Regions from separate parts of the Mus musculus genome. Here all the other regions are reported to be linked to region 3. The links are microRNA targets in miRTarBase. Many come from high-throughput screens and were not tested one by one. Region 3 holds a microRNA gene; each other region holds the end of a gene's coding sequence.

Evidence for each region. Region 3 holds the annotated microRNA mmu-miR-3057-3p (UCCCACAGGCCCAGCUCAUAGC, at 1,338-1,359, opposite strand). A microRNA usually pairs through its seed, bases 2 to 8, with sites in the 3' UTR of a target mRNA and lowers its output. Matches are read on the target gene's strand: a 7mer-m8 pairs with bases 2 to 8, a 7mer-A1 pairs with bases 2 to 7 and ends in A, and an 8mer does both.
Region 1: the mRNA of Crkl is a reported target of mmu-miR-3057-3p. Seed matches in the 3' UTR shown: 7mer-m8 at 1,293-1,299 and 7mer-m8 at 2,098-2,104.
Region 2: miRTarBase lists Tshz3 as a target of mmu-miR-3057-3p. Seed matches in the 3' UTR shown: 8mer at 1,633-1,640 and 7mer-A1 at 1,687-1,693.
Region 4: the mRNA of Gda is a reported target of mmu-miR-3057-3p. Seed matches in the 3' UTR shown: 7mer-A1 at 1,807-1,813.

Annotation. Positions count from the first base shown.
Region 1 is chr16:17,483,350-17,487,415 of GRCm38, forward strand. It overlaps Crkl (v-crk avian sarcoma virus CT10 oncogene homolog-like), which reads left to right. Exons shown (of 3, transcript NM_007764.5): 3 at 312-4,066. The coding sequence ends at 446. Among named protein-coding and RNA genes, the nearest start is that of Aifm3, 6.5 kb to the right of the region's middle.
Region 2 is chr7:36,771,392-36,775,457 of GRCm38, forward strand. It overlaps Tshz3 (teashirt zinc finger family member 3), which reads left to right. Exons shown (of 2, transcript NM_172298.3): 2 at 1-2,162. The coding sequence ends at 442. Among named protein-coding and RNA genes, the nearest start is that of Gm36722, 75 kb to the left of the region's middle.
Region 3 is chr10:81,268,947-81,273,012 of GRCm38, reverse strand. Mir3057 (microRNA 3057) reads right to left here and starts at 1,416; the gene lies at 1,326-1,416. It overlaps Apba3 (amyloid beta (A4) precursor protein-binding, family A, member 3), which reads right to left. Exons shown (of 11, transcript NM_018758.2): 2 at 3,552-4,066; 3 at 3,429-3,468; 4 at 1,900-2,045; 5 at 1,731-1,817; 6 at 1,487-1,648; 7 at 1,181-1,351; 8 at 616-828; 9 at 310-429; 10 at 54-191.
Region 4 is chr19:21,391,625-21,395,690 of GRCm38, forward strand. It overlaps Gda (guanine deaminase), which reads right to left. Exons shown (of 14, transcript NM_010266.2): 14 at 1-3,634. The coding sequence ends at 3,564. Among named protein-coding and RNA genes, the nearest start is that of Gda, 79 kb to the right of the region's middle.

The sequences.
Region 1 (4,066 bases), not on the chromosome of region 3:
CCAAAGACTGGGATTGAAGGTATGTGCCACCAGTCCGCACTTCTTACCCTTTTATTCAGCTTAACATGCACGTTCTTAGAGTTGGATGCTCATACATGTCCATTTATTAGTAACGCTGGAGGGAGTGGCTGCTCTGTGTTCAGAGGCTGCTTCCTGAGTTTTTGCCAGCGACAGGTATCCTGGGTGGTTGGTGGCATCTCGTGTCTTTGTACTACTTGATTTTTGTATAGACAGTGTTTGTGATTTAATGTAAACTGTCTTCCTTGTTTGTAGTGATGCTAATTTTGTTTTCTTTCCCTCTTCCCTTACAGGTTGGTGACATTGTGAAAGTCACAAGGATGAATATCAATGGCCAATGGGAAGGCGAGGTGAATGGGCGCAAGGGGCTTTTCCCCTTCACACATGTTAAAATCTTTGACCCTCAGAACCCCGATGACAACGAGTGATTGCTGTGCTGTCCCTGCTGCTGCCTCCTTCTGCCTGTCAGTCTCCTTTGAAGTGGGAAGCACTCTGTCACATGCAAGTTACACCGAGCTGCTGGCGGTCAGCTTTCCATACATTGGCAGTCCCTGCACATACGGAATGCCTCAGCAGCTGCCTTGCTCGCTGGCTCGGCATTTGTATCATAGTCATGCTGTCAAAGAGTAGCTGATTTAGAGTTCTTGTGGATTGTGAACTGGAAACACTGGTGGAAGCACACAGTAGAGACTGGAACCCAGAGCAGCTCTTCCTTCCCATCCATCACTGCCTTGTTTGTACTGGAGGCTGACAGAGAGAGCAAGCAAGCCTGCTGATGGTCTGCATGGAGACGGTGAGGCTTGGCAAGGTCTCGCTTTGCTGGTCCACAGAACAGTGGTTTTGCCACCAACTCAGTTTTCTTTGGACGACAGAGGAAGTAAAACTCCAGACAATTCTGTCCCGAACTCCTCAAGTCTGGCTGGTTTTCATTTTCTTTTGTTTAGTTTTGTTTTTTGGAAGACTAATTAATTATAGTTGTGTGTTCTGAACAGATTTTTAAATAGTAGGTTGGTCTATGATGGTCTAAGGAACAATCCATGTCTCTGAGCTTCCAAACTGAAGCCACTGTACGTAACTAAAATAGGAAAAGACCCCCTCCAGGGGCCTTTATCTTTTGGTTGCCACAGTACCTTGTTTACCATGTGGCAAACAGTGCACAGCAGCAGTCATGGTGTACCTTGCTGTGAAGCACCAAGGTGGGGGTGGGCCTGCTGTCATCGCTGCCTCTGACAGGAGCAGACAGGGTGGGCCTCTTCAGTGAAAACGTTTGAAGTCTGTGGGCTTACTAGATCCGTGAGTTAAATTGCATTGCTGTGTTCCACCACAGAGGCCACCCAGCCCTTCCTGTACTGACCTAGCTTGTCCAGGCAGCTTGAGAGTGGTGTCTGTTCTGGTTCCACAGCCTGAGTAGAACCAGAATACAGTGCTTCTGAGCAAAAGAAGACGCCCCTCGATCATGAGCCATTTTTCCTTGCATGTCAGCTACTACAGATATGTGTCTGATCCCTCATCCACACATGGCAAACCAGAGCTCTAGAACCTTTCTAGAGTGCACTCTTTTCAGTTGGACCCTGATGAGGATACACCTCCACACAGAACGAACGTAGCAGACCTAGAGATGGAGTAGTGGCTAGTGAGCAGCTCTAGCATTTACAGAATATCTTCTGTAACCATGGCCCTGGTTCTGCAGGCCTGAGGCTTTGAGAACTAATGGAACATATTCAGGTGACAAAACCAACAAAACCCTTTGTCCACTATATTTATTTCTCTTAAAGACTTTAAATTTTTGTTTATGTTGGGCATGGTGGACACACCTTTAATCCCAGTACTCAGAAAGGCAAAGGCAAGTGGATCTCTGAGAGTTCAAGGCTATCCTGATCTATGTAGTGTGTCACAGGACAGGCAGGCCTACATACATACCTTGTATCAGAAGATGGCCCAATCCCCCCCTCAGACCTCCCCCCAAAAAAAACTGTATATGGGTGTTTCCACTACATGTATGTATGTGTATCACATGGGTAGTTTGTTAGGAGGCCAGAAAAGGGTGTTGGTTGGATCCTCTGGAACTGTGGAGTTACTCTGTGGGTTCTAGGAATTGAACCTGGGTCCTCTGCAAGAAGACCTTAACCACTGAGCCATTTCTTGAGCCCCATTAGTTTCTCTTTAAATCAGTAGTCCATCAGGCTAAGTTCTATAGTAAAGAATGTTCATGTGACAAAGTAATGGTCATTTGGGGTATGGGGAGTGTCACGTCTGTAGAGGTTACTTCTTTTTGTCTCTGAAAGCTGCCATTTCTAGCCAGACCTATTGAGTGGACTTAAGTGTTCAGGCCCCAGACTCTGCCTAAATCAAGATTTAAGACTTGCCTTCTGGCCAGTTACACAGTTTAGCCCCAGGCCTTTGATGTCTCCACTGGAATACACACCTTGTTCACTGAGGGCACAACCCCCAAGGGATACCCCATCACTGGGGCCTGAACCTCATGCCTTACACGTGCTAGATAACCGGCTGCCAGTAAGCTTTTGAAATCCGAGATGGGATCTCTATAAATTGCCCATGCTGGCTTCAAGATTTCCATCCCAGCCTCAGCTGAAATTATAAAGGTTTGAGTCACCACACCCAGCTCTTAAGGTCTTTTAAAACTACATTTAACTGAAGGGCTTGGTGCCTTTTGATTATAGCACCTTGCTTAGCATAAACAGCCATTTTTGAGAACAGGGTTTCCCTTTTCCCAAGACTGTTGACCAGCAAGACTCTAAGGAATACTTCATGATCAGAATGTCCCATAACCCTGGAGTTTGCTTTATGTAATCAGTTAATTTGGCACATGTAAATGTCTATGCAGCTTCCTCAGAGATCCAGATCTCAAAATAAAGACTTAACTTTCTGAACTCTCAGGATACGTGCGTGCGTGCCAACAATAGTAATTCTCTGACTTAGAAGCTCATCGATTTTTAATCATGGAAATCTCTCTCACTGATAGAAAGCAGCATCTTCCCCAAGTCCCACTCTTCTGGGAAGACCCTTGGTTTCAGGGGAGTACGATGGAGGCTTCCTTTTCTCATCATCAGTGCTGTGTGGTCTGCTCTGCCATGTTGTAGAAAGTACTGGGATGATAAACCCACTTGCTATGGCTGTTGTATCTGAGAAGGAAACAATTAGGTAGTTGAGGGCTTTAAGGGCTAGTTAGTCCTGGGTGACAGCCCCCCACCTCCACCTCCAACCCCATACAGAAGGCATGCTTGTCACTCTGCACTGCTCTGATGCCACCTGTTTCGAGGTTGACAGGGTGTCCTGGCTTTTGTCATCCAGACGTAACCCTCTGTGCTCACTGGAAGAGACTCTGCCCTCTTTTCAAGTTGCACGATCCTGGCACTGTGCCAGCCTTCCTCTACAGCTGTTTACAGACAAGATGGGCCAAGACTGATGGCCACTGCTCTTGTAACCTTTACTCAAAAGAATAATGAGCATTTAAAAAAAAAAAAAGGGATGATGTGTTTTTGTTCCAGGTGTTCATAATTTAATCTTTTAATATTATGTTCATTAACCTCTTAAAATGAGTGAATTCTTGATTGTTTTAACACAGTACCTAAGACTAATGCTTTCTGTGGACTCCTCACTCTGGAACCAGTGAACCCCTCCCTGGTTAACTGCTGTGAGCGTGGACGCTGAGCTGCTTGTATATTCTGAAGGAGCAGGAGGACAGTTCTGAGACAGGAGGACAGTGGCCTTGCTTCTAGACGGTCTTCACTGTGTGTTTTAAAATGACATAAAACTCTTTTGACGTGTATAACTTAAAGAACATAAGCATCAGGCAATAATATTTTCTGTGTAAGCTTTTAAAATTATTTTTGGGGATCATAGCTTGTTTTATTTTGTGCTATAAAATTAACAGTATTAAATGACTTATATTCTTAGAATACATTGAGTGTCTTTTCTTAACAGATTAGTGCCTTTTTATTTTTGTATTCCATTTTGCGTTACTGGTCCCAGCATCAAAACCCTTGTTTCCATGGCCTGTTTGTACATTGTCTCAATAAAACTTGCA
Region 2 (4,066 bases), not on the chromosome of region 3:
CTCCAGGTTCACCGGTCTCTCCATGACCACCATCAGCCATTGGCTGGCCAATGTGAAGTACCAACTTCGAAGGACAGGTGGAACAAAGTTCCTCAAAAACTTGGACACTGGACACCCAGTGTTCTTTTGTAACGACTGTGCGTCACAAATCAGGACTCCTTCCACGTACATCAGCCACCTAGAGTCACATCTGGGCTTCCGGCTACGGGACTTATCAAAATTGTCCACCGAACAGATTAACAATCAAATAGCACAAACCAAGTCGCCGTCTGAAAAACTGGTGACATCCTCCCCGGAGGAGGATCTGGGGACCACCTACCAGTGCAAACTTTGTAATCGGACCTTTGCGAGCAAGCATGCTGTTAAACTTCACCTTAGCAAAACCCACGGGAAATCACCGGAAGACCACCTCCTGTTCGTTTCTGAATTGGAGAAGCAGTAGCGTTTGCTCCAGAGCGGAAATGACTGGAGGAGAAAATGCTGAAGGCACCTTAAAGCCCCTCTCTGTCTTGTTCTTGGCACACGTTCTTATGTTCACTGCAGAGGATTGTTCTGGGCTGGACTGTTCGGTCTAACTGTACAGTGTTTAATAGAGAGGTGCATATAATCAGCTGTTGTTACTGGTAAAATAACGAAGGTTAAAACGCAGTGCTAAGTGTTTGGAACTTTGTGTAAATGGGATTTAATTGTGAGCATCCCCTCGATGCTTCAAGCTGCATGCATTAACAGACGGTTTAATTAAGCATTTATAAGGAAACCAGGCACACTTTTTCCATGAGACTTGGGTGTGCTGGCATTTCCCACCCTTTCATCTTTAGCCCTCTGAGTACTACGAAGCACTTTTGCATTAATTTGGTTAATAAAAAAAAGATAATAATAAAACAAAATAATAATGAATAATAATAATGTATGAAACTCTGTTTTTAAAACTCGTTACCAGCTTAGTTATAAGGAATATTAGGAACCTCCATTTATGCAGGGGTATGACACGCCTTGAAATTTAAAAGAATATTATTTTCACATTGAAACATAGATGTATATATTGTATAGATTTCAAACTCTTATGGGAAAATGTGACTGGTTAAATGACCCTTTCTTTCTTGCATTTATAACAAGTGTTTTATGTATCTGCTATACTCTGGGCACAAGCCATGCCTCTGTATAGTGTATATTTCCTTATCTTTTTCTTTTTTTTTAAGGTTTATGGTTTTTTTTTTACATGCAAACATTGTAAATTATACAGAAAATACCACAGATAGCATTTATAAAATATACAGAAGCATTATCTCAAAGCAAGGTATGATGTTTGTTTTGCTATACGGCACATCTATATTGATAGAGGGTTCATGTTTAAATTATACATATTTATTAGCATTCTATTATCATTTGTTTTGAGGTCAGGAAATCCATCCCTGGCAGGCATCATAACTATTTTGCACATGGTTCTTAAAGGTATTTATTAGAAATTAAAGGATGCTCAAAGTAAACTCAGTGCTCAAAGGGTTAAGTCTATTCGAAAAGGAAAAAAAAAGATTAAAAAAAAAAACCCAACTTGTACTGTATTTCCTGAACATTGATAAAGCCTTTAAAATGTTTGTACTGTAATCCTTTGCTTAAAAGTCAAGAGTCGTTCTGTGGGACAGCCCCTTCACTTATTTATAAGCCCTCTCGGTTGCTAGTTCATAATGTGGGATTTTTTTCCCTTTCTCTTTTTTCTTTTCTTTTCTTTCTTTCTTTCTTTTTTTTTTTTTTTAATTTCAATCGGTAACTTTGTTTTGTTCCTCCTAATTATTCTCCCAAGATCCCACACTGCAGTTTTATCTTTAGGCTTATGAAAGGTAACCCGTGGTAACCGGCTCTCCAAGCCATTCTTGTCTCCATTTCTGGCAGTTAATTTGCAGAAATAACTGACAGCTGACACCATATGAGAACCTATGTATAAAATATTGGCATGTAAACACCACAGACACCGTGACACACTCTGTGCCCTGTTTTGTTGTTGACGATGGCACACCATGATGTGACTCTTCATATAACCCTTTTTTTCTACGGCAGCATTAAAATTGTCTTTTTGCTATAATTTTGTGTTGCGTTCACAATTATGTCTGAGATGTGCTACGACTAACGAGCACATTAAAATTAAATTGTATGCGATCTGTTTATGACTGACTCGGTTGCTGTGTCTGCCAGGTGCTGGCAGTTGGAGGCTGCGCGTAAATCAGGGGGAGTTTTAGTGAACTTTGGTGTTTATAAAGAACTCTCGGAGGCTTGTATAGCATTTCCCTCAGGAATAAAAATTGGAAAGACATCAGAGATGCACATGAGGCTAAACCCCTGTGGGCAAGGAATGTCGTAATAAAGTCTCCACTGTCAGAGCCTCAGTCAGGTCACGCTGGATACCTCTCCTGGGTGGCTCTGGTGTCCTTTCTGGATGCCCCATAGTGTTCCTGGGCTGAAGGGTCTTAAGAAGACTCTGTACATAATGGCTCATTCTTGCTAACTTAAGATTTTCCAAGGGGAAAGTAGAGAGGACCCACGTATTCAGACTTAGGGGTCATCTGTTCTTCCCAAGTTAAAGCAAGCAGAGACAACCAGGTTGGGTAGGGATTGGGAGGAGTTCGGACCCATCCATGGCAGGGGTGGGGGGTAGGTAGGGGGAAGGGGAGAGGAGTAGGAAGGAAGCATTTATATGATAATCACAAGCTTTTATTGGCCCTGGCAAATCACTCCAACAAAATGCTGAGAACATCATGTAGAACTGTAAAATACCTTTATTACTATATTGAAGCTAGTCTTGCAGTTAGGCAGAACCAGAGCTCCTAACCTAGAATTATACAAATGAGAGATGCGATACACCCATGTAATACATAAAACACCTCAACTTGAAGGAAGAAAAGATACTCTTTTATTAAAAATTTAAATTAAGCCCTTTCAAAAATGTTCGGCAACACGCCTACGGGTTTTTCCCTCTCCCCACCCCTTTTTGTCAAGACAAGTCCAAATGTGCCATCTACTCTGTTTTCTTAGCAATCCCCCCCTCCCTCTCTCTGGTTTTGGAAAGAACTCTGCTGGAGTTTAAAATGGGTGTCTGGCAGGTAGTGACACAGGGACTCTACTCCAGCCTTGTGACTTGGGGCACACAGGTAAGGCACAGCCTCAGGATTGTCGGCCTCTGGGTCCAAGGTCTGCCCTGCTCTCTGCCTCCAGTGTGATCAACCCATGTCTTTCTCTCTAAGGCCCTCTACCCGGAGGAAGCTGAGGGTTGTTATATTCTACCAGGATACCTGCTACCGTCCTAGAACCTGGCTCAGGAGACAGAGACCCCCCCTCCCCGCTGTGCTTTCTGCATCTTTGCATCCTGAAGCCCAGATTTCCACTCTTGAATTTTTCACAGGTTAAATATAGCATCGGTTTATTAGAATCCAAAGTCCTGCATCTAACAGATTAAACTGACAACACTCTCGTCATCACCAGGGCCCATGTGGCTTGAAGGGAGAGGGGATTTGTGTGAGTGATGGTGGAGCCCCCCTCTTCACAGTTGAGAAGGACCCAACACTCTGAGAAATCCTCCTCCCCCTCCCCCAGGATTATTATCAGGGCTGTTCAATTTGGGGGGAGACATGGAGATTGATAGCCAAGGTGGGTAGTGAGTTACACACTCAGTTGTGCCTTGGACTCAGCCTGCTGGTACTAATGGAAACCCTAAATTAATTCTACCCCCAGGGAAGTATTAGTAAGGAGAGCTATTGAATGCAAACCTCTTTGTAAAAGAGAGTCTTCTTAGCATTGGGAAGTGGACCACTTTCCTCTAAACCACTAAACCCTCGCCTTGCAACAGGGTAGGCAATATGCAAGAATACTACCAGATCATAGCCCGTTAGGGCCCCAAATCAAGAAGGACCATCCAGAGGAAATACCAAGTCTACTGTTGACCACTTAGTCTATGGCTGATGTGAACAGAGAAGGAGAGTAAATGGTGAGATTGGTGTCCAAGGAGGCCTGCAAATGGCTCTTGGAGGGATGGTGGATTCACAGAGGGAGGGGGCTTTAATCACAGGTGCGCAGG
Region 3 (4,066 bases):
TGGTTTGGGTAGGACAGGATCAGGGGTGACGGGGTCAGGTGACTCCCACGCACTTCTCTTGTCTCTGTGAGCAGCTGGATGATGCGCGCATGGGGCATAGCCACCACGCTCTGCCCGTTGACCTCAATGATGCGGTGTCCAACGCGGACTCCACCACGCTCAGCAGCGCCCCCACGCAGCAGGCTACAAATCTGAGGGGGGACAACTCTCAGGACCTGCCCCTAGGCTATAGGCTAGCCTCCACTCCCTAGGCTGTATGCTAGCCCATTCCCCACACCCGGCCTAGGGGGGGGGGGTTCCCAGCCTCACGATTCCATCCTCCACACAGAAGCCCAGCTGCTCGCGCACGTGGGGCCGGCGGATGACGGCCGTGGTGACCGGTGGGCAGTGGATAATACTCAGCGTCACGGATGAAAGTCGCCGCACCTCCTGGGGGGACCCACCATGCTGCTCAGGCCTCTGCGGGCATCAGTTTACCCACCCGTCAATCTCCCAGGCAACATGGGGATGCAATCAGTGGTACCATACAGTCACTTAACTTAGGAGACCCTGTTAATGGGCTCCTATGCACCCTACAAGGCCCCTGGGAACCCCGCCCACAGAACTTTGACTCACGCGCACCGCAGCCTGGCAGGCAGCCAGCGACAGCCCCACCAGGCTGGTTCCATTGATGGCAGTGACGCGGTCCCCTATGCTCAGGGCCCCGCAGCGCTCGGCAGGGCCCCCATGGAGCAGGTTGGCAATGACCGCAGTGGGCAGTAGCGAGCCCCAGCCTGATTCAACTAGCGCGACGCCCAGGCCTTCACCTGGCCGCTTCTGGATGCAAACCTGGGAGCAGAACCAAGTTCAGGGGGCAGGGTGTGGGGTGGGGTCCCAGGAGGGGCAGGACCACATTCAGGGGCAGTGTGGGAGAAGCTGCACTTAGAGATAGAGCAGGCAGAGCCAAGCCAGGTGTAGGGAGGGCTCAACTTCGGGGAGGGGGGCAGGGTCCCATTCAGGGGAAGTGTGGGATCAGGCCCAATGCGGGTGTGCTCAGGGAGGGGGTGGGGTCTCAAAGGGGGCGGGGCCGTGTCCAGGGAGTATGGGGCCAGGTCTCGGTGGGGTGGGCTCAGCAGGCCAGGGGATAGGTCCATGGTCCCTTGGGTGGCTCTGTGTGTGCTGTGGCAGAGCAAGCACTCACCTCCCTACAGTTCTGGCTGTTGCAGAAGTGGTCCAGGTCGCCGTTGTGCGGGTGGCTGGCAGCGGTTGAGGGCTGCGTGCCCACCTGGCTGGGGTCGATCCTGTTCTCCTGTAGGAACTGGCTGTAGGCGATGCTGAAGGCCTGGCCGATGGCTTGTGCTATGAGCTGGGCCTGTGGGAGGACAATATACTCCTAATCCATCCCGCAGAATCTCAGCTCCAATGCACACACCTTCAGGACACCTCAAGGTTTCTAAGTCAAGGGTTCTTAGATGCTCTGGAGGGGGCGTAGCTCACGGCTGCTCACATCCTCTGAGTGGAAGACATGGCACAGCATCTTGTAGAGTCGCCGCTGGCGGTCCTGGGGAGTTGTCCTCCTGGCCAGCCGCCTCCGGGCCATCAAGACCAGTACAGGCCCAATGTCTGCGATGTAGGAGATGGTCTGCAGGGCATGGTCCATCAGGGCATCCTGTGGACATGCGCTGGGTGGGCTGGGGGCCTCTCAGGAACCCCAAGTGTCCACGACAGTCAAGGCCCAGCCCTCTGGGTACCTGGGAGTCAGCAGCCAACACTTTGACACGCTTGGTGGAGATAAAGATGTCCACTTCCACCATGGGCTGGGTCTCGCCTTCAGGGGCCTGCAGGGTAGGAAGGGGACACAGAAGTTAGAGGTGGTTGGGACATGGAATCCAACAGCCCAGGAACTCCACCCTGGCTCACCTTGACGCGGTCCATGGCCTCCTGCGCCTGCCCCATGCGTGTGCTGGGCGCCGGGCTGCGCTCTGACAGCAGCTGGGTGGAGCCCAGGTATTTCGCCCCGAAGATGACACCATCCATGAGCTCCTCCGGCCCACAGGGACCTGGGACTGCAGATGACAGTGAGGGGTGCGACCTCTACAGGCTCTGAGGTCCCCAATCCCTGAGCTGTTGCTCAAGAAACTCATGGTTCTGTCCACGGCTTAGCATGCACAAGATCCTGTACTAGAAGACTCCAGAGGCTCAGTGTGCGGTGGCCAGCTCTGTACCTGCCACTTTCAGGGATCCTAAGAAGTGTCACCCCTACTATGAGGCACCCTCAGGAGGAATGGACCCAAAACAGGTTGCAGGGCTCAAAGACCCCTCTTCCAGAACCTTCTGACCAAGAGTCAGAGCTCAGGGCCTCACGGTGGTGTCGTGAGTCCCTAACATTCTGGAATCAGGCAGGGCAGGGCCAGCAATTTAGCTCAATGGGTAAAGGCATTTTCAGCCAAGTAAGATACCCTGAGTTTGATCCCTGGGATACCACAAGGTGGGCAGAGAACTAACTCCCACAAGTGATCCTCTGCCATATTCGATAAATGCAAAAAAAAAAGACAGAAGATCAAGGCCGGGCGTGGTGGCACACGCCTTTAATCCCAGCACTTGGGAGGCAGAGGCAGGCGGATCTCTGAGTTCAAGGCCAGCCTGGTCTACAGAGTGAGTTCCAGGACAGCCAGGGCTACACAGAGAAACCAAAAATAACCAAAAGAAAAAGAAATAAGATAAAAATCCATGATGATCTAGAATTCTCTTCAGTCAGCCTGGAGCGTCTCAAAGTCTGGGTCCTCGATAGCCCTGAAACAATCCCACCCATGAATATTTATTTATTTATTTATTGTTTTTTTTCGAGACAGGGTTTCTCTGTATAGCCCTGGCTGTCCTGGAACTCTCTCTGTAGACCAGGCTGGCCTCAAACTAAGAAATCCTCCTGCCTCTGCCTCCCAGGTGCTGGGATTAAAGGCGTGTACCACCACTGCTTGGCTTTTTTTAAAAAGATATATACATATATATGCATATATATATGTATTATATATATAATAATAAGTAAGTACACTGTAGCTGTCTTCAGACACACCAGAAGAGGGATTCAGATCTCATTACTGGTGGTTGTGAGCCACCATGTGGTTGCTGGGATTTGAACTCAGGACCTTTGGAAGAGCAGTCAGTGCTCTTACCCACTGAGCCATCTCGCCAGCCCTGTAAATGCCATCTTTAGCTCTCAAAACTCCCCAGAGCAGCCTGGAGCTATCCTCTGTCAACCAGTGTGCTAAACCAGCATGGCTTCTAGAACATTCTACAGCTTATGTCACCTCTTTGGCCGTCTAAGATCTGCTCTCATTCAGTCCTCTCTAGACCTTGATCATCACTGGCAAACTTTGTGTCATTACTTGAGAGCCCATTTTTGGGCTGTTCTAGGACATTCTGATTTCTGTGTAAAAATGGACACTCACCCTCGGTGACGGCAGGGCACGAGGCCAGGGTCTCCCGGCTCTGGAAGATAAGAGGTGCAGGGCTGAGTCCCCAGTCATGGCTGAGGGTCAGAAGTCAGAGGTCAGAGAGGCGAGCACTATTACCTGGGTACCCACAGGTGGTTCCTGCTGTGTCACCAGGGGTGCTGTCTCCAGCCAGGGCTCCGGGGAACTGCTGGAGCTCCTGCTGTCTGCTGGCTCTGCTGATGCCCCTTCCATCCATCCCGGGTCCCCATCAGGGTCCTCTGGCGGCTGCAGAAGGCGGGGTGCAGTCTGTGCAGGATCTTGGGGGACAGATTGGGCAGGCGAAGAGGCCTCATCCCTCAGCAGACCCAGAAGGTCGTCCCCGCCTGCCTCGGCCGACAAGAGCCCACCAGCATCTGGGTTCTCCTGGGTGGCAAGTCCTTGGCCGGTAGCAATGTGCAGGGGACAGGGGGCTCCATCTGGGAATGGGCCACCCAGGTCGCTGGGTAGAGCTTCTAGCTGCTGAACCAGCTCCTGCACACTGGATGTGTCCAGCTCCATCTCACTCAGGGTGACAGGGCCTCCAGGCCCTAAGGCCGACTGGGTGTTAGAGGGGTGGTTCTCAGAGGGCACCTCGGGGCCTTTGGGCTCCTCCA
Region 4 (4,066 bases), not on the chromosome of region 3:
TGACATTGCATTTCACTAAACATGGACTAGGCCCACAACACTGCATCTCAGTGCTGGAGATGGGCAGGAAGGTGGGGTAGACTTTAAAACATGCGTGGTAACGAATATCAAGAGTTTTCTCTCAGTGACCTCTCCCCTGTCTGCTTCTTCCCACGACATTATAAAGTGTATTGTGCAAAATCATACATGCAGCAGCTAGGAGATTAGAAATGGCAAACATCTCTTTTTGGTCTTTTAATTTTTTTTAATGTATCATAGAGTCCCTGTAATTTAAGATTTATTTTGAGTCATTGCCCAGGATACATGTCTCCTTCTACCTGTTAACAGCTAAGATGACTCTTTTCAAATATTTGAATAGTCCAGCAACAGCAACCTTAAAAGATGTCCACTAGGCTGCAGAAGCACGGAGTTCTGGGTATCTTCCACATATGCACACTGATGGAACGGGTACAATGTGCATCCCAGTGTGCCTGGAAGGCTTCTCATGTGTCTGCTTCCAAAGGGAAAGAGCTTAAAAATAGAAATTATCTGGTAGAGAGTGAAGATTTAGAACATATTGCCAGATCTGGCACTCATGTTGCCTCTGTTTGCTTTGGGGGATATTTGAGGGCATACCTCAAAATCAGCAAAGCAATGAAGAGGTTTTTTTTTTTTTTTTATCATTTCCTTTCATTTGTCTTGAAATGTTTTTCACTAAAGAAGCAAAGAAATGCAGTGTTCACAGGATTCATTTAGAAAGGCCCCCTCCTGGCATACCCTCTGGGACTGTGAAGTCTTTGACAGTGTAAGTAAAGAACCAGGTAAGATAACACAACAGAGGAATCCAGCCCCTTTGGCCCTGTAGATAAGGATGACTTCTTAGGTTCTAACCTCTTATTTTTAATGCCCCTGATCCCTCCCTGCCTTTTTGTTTTTTTAAATCAAATTCAACTTGGTTAGTCTACTTTTGTGTTTTGGCTGCAAGAATATGTTATAAATATAACACACATGATAACTTTTAATGCCTTCTAACCTTTTACAATGAAGTCCATCAAAAACTCTAAAGAAATTATTCAAATGGTATGGAATAGGCAGGACAACCTTCCTTCCTTCCTTCCTTCCTTCCTTCCTTCCTTCCTTCCTTCCTTCCTTCTCCCCCTTCCTCTCTCCCTCCCTCCCATCCCCTCTCTCTCTGTTTCTCTTTTCCTTTCTTCTACAGAGAGCAAACCATTCAAACATAAAGTGACAACTGGGATAGGCTTGGAACAGTGCCTATCCATAATTAGGAAAGTCAACCTACGTTATTAGGTGAGCGCAGCATTTCCAAGTGCAGGATATCTGGCCCTATGTGTGGGACACTCAAACAAGCATAGGTAACATTCATGAACACTTCACTTGGGGAACTAAAACACATATAAGTGCAGGGAGATCAAAGTACTCAAAGTACATGTAAACACTTCAACACCTTATTTTTATTAGAAGTAATTCAACTGGCAGCACATTATCAGGACTAATCTGAATCTCAACAGGATGGTGTTACATTACCACTGCTATTCCTGCTTCCAGAATTACATTTGCCTATATTACTGCATGTGAGTCTTAAGTTTAAATAAAAGCTGATGTTCAACATCAAAATGCACACCCTTCAAGAGGACAAGTGTGGGGTCTGTAAACCCTTTGGCAAGAGTCAAAACAGACAGCCTAAACAGTTGCCAGCCTCAGAGAGAAATGGGAGAGGGGAATCTGGCAGCTCATTTTGATATTTCTGATGTGCTAGCAATGCTGGACATGCAGACTAAAGCCAGGGGTTGGATTTACTCACCGATATCCCACAAAACAAATTCTCTCTCTCTCTCTCTCTCTCTCTCTCTCTCTCTCTCTCTCTCTCTCTCTCTCTCTCTCTCTTTCTCTCTCAAAATAAAACAAAGTACGACCTAAATGTGTACCATCTTGAGATATAATGTATACACACCAGATCTAAAAGTGCTTCTACCAGGAAAATAGATCTGGACAAGTTACTGCTGAGTTAGCATAGAGAACAGAAGAACTGTGTGTTCTTAGATGTGAGAACTAACTACTGCCTAATGGGTTTCTCTGTTATAAGATACAATGGAAACTCACCTAAACCCTAGGAGTGAAATATATGTTAATAAAACCTGTTCCTGGCCCTTGCTTGTTTATAGGAGGTGGAATTAATTAAGAAAAATGTAGTATTTAAGTAGAATACACATCACTGTTTCCTAAAGCTCTGCCACGTGGTTATGACCTGGTTTTAGTTCTAATATGAGAAGGGACACCATATACGTTAGAAAAGCTAAAAGGCCCTCTTTTGTTTAATATTCCTTGATGTCTAGTACAGGTAAGTCCTAGAAATATAAACATTAGATGGAATTTTTATATCCTTTTCACTATTCTAAGATTTTAATGCCAGAAAAATCTTCAAGAATTACAATGACAATTTGGTAAATTAAAACAAACGAACAAACAAACAAACACACACAGAGCTCTTTCAGTATACTGGCCTTGCAGAGCCTTATCCATAATGCTTTAGGGACTTGCACTTGGCTTTTAAGTTCTAGCACATTGATAGGAGGGTGAACTGTACAGCAATGATTATGCGTTGGGTAGATTCAGCATTGCAAAGAACCCTGTCCCCTCAGTGTCACCAACTCCGGGGAATATAGTACTTCCCCGATTTATGAAAACTCCAGTCTACAGAGCAGCAACACACAGGGCTTGTTTCTCATCTAATAAAACAGAAGCAACTGGAACACCTCACAGCCAGGAATCAAGATGACTTTGAAGTACACACACACACAAAAAAACACAACTATTTATGCCTTGCGGCTATGTGAATACTATCCCTAAGAGACTTTAAATCTTTAATACTCAACTTCTGCCGAACACTTTGAAGCATAGAACTATATTTGAAAAGCGTGTGGCATTCAGGTTCTGACATTCATCCCAAGAAGGGAAAGCATAACAATAACACATCCTGAAATGCAAATTTCACAAAGTGCAAATGTCCATAGACAATGTCGATCTAGAAGCATGTTTTAAATCCAGTAGGTTCTCCTTTTACGAGACTGTTCTCTATATTAAATTTCCAAGCACAACCAATGACTTTTCCAATGTCTTTTCAATGTCTAGCTTGTGCCCTCTCATAAAAATCTGCTCATTGGTCCATACTGGAGTTTCCTAATTTTCTTAGTCATTAGCACAGAGTGTCTAGCCACATAGGGAGATCTCCTCGTCCTGTATTTCCCTATATGGAAACGTTTTACTTCACTATTGGAAGCGCATTGCCAGCTGTTAACAATGTCTTCTGTGCGAGCACAATGCAAATCTAAACAGCCCAATGGGAGGCACTGTCATGAAATTACAATGCTCCCAGACTGGAGTGGAGAAGCAGCGCACTCCCTTCAAACAATTTACCAAGTGGGCACTGGAAGGAGACACAGGAACAGAAGTCATCCAAAGAACACGGTACTTTTTTGTAAATATACTTTCTGATTGGTCCCTGGGCACAAGGAAGATGGCGGAATCATGTCTTCCCAGGAGAATGTCGCAGATGTCCAAGGTCCTTACACTGAGCTGGAGAATGGAACGACCTGCTTTCCACCCACATAAACCTCCTCAATATTTCGGTCGTCTCCTGAAATTAAAACCAAAGAATCATTTGTACTGTGCTTTTTTTTTTTGGGGGGGGGGGTCAATGATTGCCTTAGTTTCCTTTAGATTTTAAGAAAGAAAAATAAAAACCTTTAAAAGAAGAAACACAAGCCCCCAAAGGTAGAAACTTTATTCCTCCCAGATCATTTACAGTCTCCTGGAGATGACTTGGTCAAGACATCCTAGCCAGTTGAGAATTGGGGTCTCCATTCTGTATCGGAGGCGAAAATCATAGGTAGCTCAATAATCTCCCATCGCTGACCTTTCTGCTGAAGGGGCTGGCTGGCATTTCCAGGCCTGGGTGAGAGGACATACTATATACTATCTATACCCCCAGCATCACCCTCAGCACGTTGAAATGAGCAACCTGGAGATGTGGCCTGGCAAAGCTTACCATCGCCCAGTGCTGAGCTCA